Linked DNA regions of Saccharomyces cerevisiae S288C. The gene in region 1 interacts genetically with each later gene. Each region holds a gene or a part of one and is shown in the gene's direction. Other genes may lie near its edges. The genes, in order: ASI1 and YPR096C.

The links.
Region 2: mutations in ASI1 (region 1) and YPR096C together harm fitness more than expected from each alone (negative genetic interaction), as found in Saccharomyces cerevisiae (2 studies listed by BioGRID).

Annotation. Positions count from the first base shown.
Region 1 is NC_001145.3:503,301-507,827, forward strand, and holds ASI1 (putative ubiquitin-protein ligase ASI1), read left to right. Parts: upstream 1-2,032; coding exon 2,033-3,907; downstream 3,908-4,527. Other genes in the region: bifunctional phosphoribosylaminoimidazolecarboxamide formyltransferase/IMP cyclohydrolase ADE17, read right to left, coding at 4,202-4,527. UniProt on the Saccharomyces cerevisiae protein: E3 ubiquitin-protein ligase which transfers ubiquitin to substrates promoting their degradation.
Region 2 is NC_001148.4:724,174-726,873, reverse strand, and holds YPR096C (uncharacterized protein), read left to right. Parts: upstream 1-1,729; coding exon 1,730-2,032; downstream 2,033-2,700. Other genes in the region: LEC1 (Lec1p), read right to left, coding at 1-1,480; Arf family guanine nucleotide exchange factor SYT1, read left to right, coding at 2,157-2,700.

The DNA of each region.
Region 1 (4,527 bases):
GGAACTTCTATTATATTCTGTATACACAACATTATAGCCTTTGATCAACAATGGAGTTCACAATTATCAAAATATTCGCACAATATTCACGTAGAATAGTGGATGACAGAGTATATAAACAAAGAAAGAAGCACTCAGGATTTTCTATAAATAGTGAAGTTTTCTATGGACGCCAAAAAATCTTAAGGGTATCTTGAGTGTAATCATCATTGGAAGGATTATTATCTTTCACGAGTAAAATACTATTAATAACTAGTAATTTCCGTGAAGTCATTAAAATGAACAAAACGATAAAACGGTTTCTTATTGCTAATGTGCTGATTTTTTGCCAAAAGGTAAAATCTAAAAATATCAATTGCATACCTTCACATTTGGTATATTACCATATAATAGCAAGATGACATAAATCGGTGAGGAGCAGTTACCAAATTCCATGGAAGATGAAAAACAGGGTTGATAATATAATAAACTGTTGGAACGAGAGTAATTAATAGTGACATGAGTTGCTATGGTAACAATCTAATGCTTACATCGTATATTAATGTACAACTCGTATACGTTTAAGTGTGATTGCGCCTATTGCAGAAGGAATGTTAAACGAGAAGCTCAGACAATACTGAAGCTGTGTTAAAGACCTATTAGTTGAACATGTTATGGTAGGTACATATATGAGGAATATGAGTCGTCACATCAATGTATAGTAACTACCGGAATCACTATTATATTGGTCATAATTAATATGACCAATCGGCGTGTGTTTTATATACCTCTCTTATTTAGTATAAGAAGATCAGTACTCACTTCTTCATTAATACTAATTTTTAACCTCTAATTATCAACATAAACAATGGAAGAAAAATAATAATATTACCAAGCAAAATTATTGTCCTTGTGGATTTCGATATTTTCAACAGGTACCTTAGTAGAGCTGAAGTTTTTTCAAATTAAACATTTATGTGGTAGTCATATATATGTGTCATGCGAGTCTTTACATTAAATATATGGTAACCACCAGAGAACTTGTTATATTAGTCACGATTAATAATGTTGGAATAAAAATCCACTACCGTCTATCAACTAGTAGTTATATTATCAATATATTATCATAGACGGTGTTAGATGATGATATAAATTATGAGAAGCTGTCATCAAAGTTAGAAGAAGCTGAAATGCAAAGATTGATAATATGATAGGATAATGAAACATATAAAATAGAAAGAGGGATAATCGTAATATTAGTATGTAAAAATATACATTCCATTTTGAGGATTCCTATGTCCTCGTGGAGAACTTTTAGTATATTCTGTTTACCTAATATTATAATCTTTTATCAACAATGGAATCCCAACAATTATCTCAAAATTCACCTATATCTCAAATAATAAACCGATCGGACTGCGTTCAGTGAACCTCTCTTATATAGTATAGGAAGATCCAAATTTATTATTCGCTGATATGACCTTTTGACCTTTACATATTAACGAGGTGCTTTTACCAATGCATAGACGAGCAGCTTATCCCATAATGAGTTTAAATTCTATTCAACTCATAACAACTTATAGTTGCTATAGTCACACCTTTTCAACAGATAAGTGGTTGTTTGGCCGAGCGGTCTAAGGCGCCTGATTCAAGAAATATCTTGACCGCAGTTAACTGTGGGAATACTCAGGTATCGTAAGATGCAAGAGTTCGAATCTCTTAGCAACCATTATTTTTTTCTCGCGTATTCCTTTGAGGGCGCCCCTTTATGTTGAAATATTGAGAAGCTACGAATCAAACTTTGAAGTCAGTTGAGTAAGCAATATGAAAAACATTGGAAAATACAATAAAACACAATTACGAAAACTATATTGTTTTGAACAGAAAAATAGAAGGAAGTACTAAAATTACTCTTTCACCACACAACAATTTTAACTCAAGAAGATAATCACTGCTTACTTTTATATTTTATAGACAATTTGCACTTTGGGGTATTTTTCTTAATTTTATCTGGGTTTTTTTCTTCTTTTTACAAAGAAACTATGCTAAGAATATGAACTCTTCCACTTCTTCAGAAAATGTGTTCATAAATTCATTTAGCTATTTGAATCAAACATCACAAGCCGTAATCTCAGGTAACTCCACTTTCGCAAATGTTATCAACTTTCCTTATAGACTTGGATTATCCTTTATTGGGGCTGTGAACTTGCAGTACGAGCAAACCGTTAAATCTGAAGAAATTCCCCCAACTCTAAGGTCTGTTTTTGATACAATAGGGTTTTTTTTCAGCCCGTACGCCATATTTTGCTTTGTAATCGCCATTGTCCTGAACCGGTTCGTTGTATTTTACGCCGTCCTTAACAACGGTTCCAGACGTACTTTACCGTTATGGTTGAGTAATGTTTTCCATGTATCAGCAGTAGTTGTATTAGCAATGGTATCCTTAGGTCCGCTGACCTTGGGTAAGGATTTCAAAATATTAGGCGACCCTGCTTTTGCCCAAGAAAAATTTTTACTGAATATATTCTACGCTTTCGCTTACTCTTATTGTGTCGAAACCATATTTACCATCATGCGGAATTCCAGCCCTTTGGAGGGCACTGACTATTCATTGTTTGAACTTTCGATTCAGTTTTATACAATGACTAATAATAATACTAAATTTTTAGATTCTCCTGATTACATTATAGACTGTTCTATGGCTATTTTGAGCAGGATATTGATCCATTTGGTGGAGATTTTCAGGCTTAGAAATTATCGTCTACTTTTTAGTACTATTATGAACCTCTGTCATATTTGTTACTTAGGGATAAGAGTTAAGCAGGGCGGCTGGAAAAGCCTTCCATTTTCGGTGAAATTTAGGCACTTTCCAAAACTGTTTTCAGTGTCTATTATTTGCTTATCATTACTGATTTTTAAATTATCATGCTTAATTAGATGGGATCCATTTGGAAAATCACGTAATTCTTGCGAACTTTTACAGTTTTACCCTCTCAGTAGAAATTGGAAAAAATACTTAAATTACACGGGAGAAGAAGATTTTTCTGCTATGGCCACTAAATTCGCACTATTATTATGCTCAGGAACTGAACTAATGGAAAAGGGTATACGAAGAGAATTTCCTGCTATTAACATCCCGGATAATGTTAATGAGAAATTTTTTATTAGCGGTTATTTAAATGAACTTTCTAAACCGTATAAAGAGAACACTTCCATCAGCTTCCCAAAGAAAAATTCATCAATATTAAAGCAAAGATTTTTTTTAATGTTTCCAAAATCTATAATATGGATCATGAAGAAGCTTGTAGGCCAAGTATTCTTTGGCTTCAGAGATAACAAGGACGAGGACATCCCCGACAACGACCCATCAAAAATGTTAAAGATAACTAAAACGAACTCTCTCAATAATAGTGCCGGCCACAAAGAAGATATTGAACTTGAACTATTGAACACATCAGATGATGAGTATTCTGAAGATTACGAGCCTTCTGAAGTTGAGTCACTGGGGGATTCTGATGAAGAAAACTTGGAAGAAGATTCACTGATTTTCAACGAAACTCGGGATGCCCTACTGGATTTATTTTCTTCCGAAGATAATGAAGTTCATACTGATTATAATTGGATCATGTCAACTAGCCGTATCCTTCAACAAAAATTACTGTCAGATAAAACTTTGACAAGGGCGTCTATCTTAGATACAAAGTTAAGTGAAGTAGATGAGACTTTTGGTACAGAAAGTGATTTTGATCTATCTTGCGCGGTATGCAAAGTCAATGAAAGAAATACAGTATTATGGCCCTGCCGATGTTTTGCCATTTGCGAGGATTGCAGAATTTCTTTGGGTTTACGTGGGTTCAGCACTTGCGTATGTTGTAGGAGTAAAGTTCATGGGTACTGTAAGGTTCATCCTGTTTCAGATAGTAAATAATAGTTTAAGAACTTTTGCATGGTATCTAAAAGAGGTTTTTCGTTTGGGAGCTCTAGCATTAATTACTATAGCTAGAGCTTTCTGTGTTGCACATATAAACATCATAATAATAAATCAAGTTTTTTTTCTTTGGGAAATGTTCGAATTAAAATTGTACTTATAACATATCGTATCATTAGTATATATATAAAAGTGTCAGTGGCGATTATATCATTAGAGGAGGAAAGAATAAACTATACATCGATTTGCCGTCATTTCTGTATTTATGGCATATTGACTCTGAACTCATGCCATCTAATGGTGGAACAAACGGATTGGGTTCTCTACGTAAACCAAATCGAATGAATCGGCAGCTGAAAATACAACCTTGTCCATGACAGAACCAGATGGAGCGGCAATGTATTTGACACCGGATTTAACTGCTCTGTAAACATTGTCTGGGAATGGGAAAAATGCATCCGATGACAAAGAAACGTTGGTTAATTTACTCAACCATTCCTTTCTTTCTTCTGGAGTAAATGGTTTTGGAATCTCCTCGAACTTCGATTGGTATTCAGACAATTCTGGTTCTTCTGTTGGAATTTGGCCGGTTACGAATAAATCGATAGCATTAGATTTTT
Region 2 (2,700 bases), on another chromosome or scaffold:
ATGAGCTTTGAGAAACCTCTGCATCTTTACACAAAGTCCTTAAATATTGTCTTAATGAAGTTCTCATTTTTTCACCCACCAAAGTATTGATTTTTGAATCGGATGCATCTTTATATTCATCAAAATCACTTTCTTCACCTTCACCTTCTTCCTCATACTCGTCCTCATCAATATTATCTTCTTCCTTGATCTCATTTAGAATATTTTTTCTCAACGTTTCAGTTTCTTTTTCTGTGAGTACTGTTTCTGTAGCAGATAATTCATTCGTTGTCTGTAAAAATGAAGAATTATCAGACTCTGATGCAGATTGTAAATCAGTGTCAAAAGTGTTGACGATTTTTTCCCTGGCTGCTGATTTAGTTTGCCCATTGTGTAACACTTCGGTTTTAGTTATCATAGACGTCACTTTTTTATTTCTATGAGGTAAGCGCGGACATTTCTTCCCCGGAAATTCTGATTTTAAATCATGAGATAGTTTTTTGAAGTCGCTGTATGTTCTTGTCACATAGAAATAACCAGCATGGTGATCAAGATTACTATTCTCTTCATTGCTGTTATCTTGGTCGTCGTCATCTTGCTTCTTAATCTTAATCAAGAAATAATGATGTTTTCTAGATTGCTTGCTCTTAGTTGAAGGCACGCCAAGGGATAATTTCGAAAATAAAGATGCTGAGGATTCGGGCATACTATTTATGGTACTGTTAATAGTGTTGTTGAAGGCATTCTTCATCCATTTAGAAGTGGAAGCAAATGATTTTATAGCATGGCTTTTGGGACTCGAAGTTGGAGTAGATTTACTAGACTTGTCATTATCCACACTTTCAGTACATTTCCGTGAATTCTTATTGAACACGGATATAATATTGACGTCCCAACCGTTAATAAAAACGGATTCGTTAGTGAGCAAATTCTCTAAATTTTCTCTAGTTGGCATTGCAAATTTCTCAATATTAGAGCGTTTTCTCGCTTGGCCTGACTGTAAAACGAATTTATCCTCATTATAATACGCTTGCTCTTGAAAAGAGCCAACACCGGAGTTAAAGAGCAACAAGATAACCTTTGATAGCTTTTTGGAAACTTTCTTCCTTTTTGAAGCTTCCTCCCTGTCATAACTTTCACTAAACCCAAGACTCATGAAATGTTCAAAGAACACTTGAACCTTACTCTGCCAGAATTTTTCATCAACTAGCAAATTTGTTGAAAGTAAAGGAAATGTGGATATAAATTCTTGCAAAACATAACTCAGCATGGGATAATTAACGCTAAAATGGCCTTTGCCACCGAGCACTGGTGATGAATCGTTATTGGAGATAGGCTGTGGAGCTGTCGGATCGTTTGGTGAGAAAGGATAACCGAACTTTCTCAAAGCAAACTGATCGTTAAGCTTTCCAATTTCATAATCCAATTGACATCGAAGCAGTTCCCTCTTCAGGTAGTGTTCTTCCGTTGGATTTAAAGCAGGAGTGTCTTGAGTAATCATTTGAAGACTGTCTATTTTTGATTCTTTAGTACAATTATCTTCAACCACTGATTTCAGTACACAATTCCGACCACAAGGTAAGGTTCGTTTTTCTTTTTTTATAGAGCCCAATGCACAGTAATTGGATGTAGCTCTTAAAAAAGAATGAAAGCTAGAAAGTGATCAATTATTCGAAAAACACTTTAATACGTTCCTTGTTCACGCCTAAAAAGTTAACTGTCAAATGGTTAACGTACATTTATCTGTCTTATGAGAGGCGAAACAGGCGTAAGCATTAAAAACCCAAGGCCATCTCGTCCTTTTTCTTGTTTTTGGCGTAAAGGAGATGTTGAAAATATTAGGAAAAGTGATATAGGGAACGAAAAGAAAATAGACGCTAAGTTCAACAGGCTTCAGTATAATCTATATTACAAGCCTCTCTCGCACCACAAGGCCGGTTTATTGTACAAAGAACTCTTCTTCAGAAGCTGCTTCTCTTATACTACCTGCTCATTAGACTTTCAGGGTAAAAGGCACCAAGTGGAAAGAAAGGCAGTAGATATAGTACTTTGAATTCTTTTGACATCGCAAGGTTACTCGCATCCACTCCCTATTATTTACTCTGTTTCAACTCATTGTAACTTCATTTTCGCTAACTTCCCGCCAGACCAGCTCTTCAATCCACACTTGCCAGATAATGAATCAGTCTATTTCTTCGTTGATTAAGCTTAAATTCCTTCAATCACACAGTAACGATAAAAATGGCAACAAAAAGGGCGGAAGCAATGTTTCAACAGGCATAGATAAATTAAGAGAGTCGGAAAGTTATAGAAGTCCTTTTCTTCAACTCGCAGAAATACAGGAACACACTAATAATGACGACGATAAACTTGATGTAAAAGAATGCGAGCCCACAAAAAAACACAGCAAACTAAGCAGGATACGGCGTAAGATGGGTAGGTTAGACTTGAATTTCAGGTCAGCCAATGAAAAGGGTTCTGAAGATGATGAAATCTTGGTTGCACAACACCTCCGTAATGGACAAGATCCTGAAGAAATGCCTTTCAAATCAGAAAACAACATAGATTCGATAGAGAAAGTTCCCAAGCCCGATGGTGAGAGAGTCACGCTTACTAGCTCCGGGTCTGATAACGTAAAGAGAAATTCAAAACACGCCCCATTCATTCCTGTGAAACCTGCTCTAGAAAAATTTCCTTCTTCTAATAGATTGTCAAGAGATT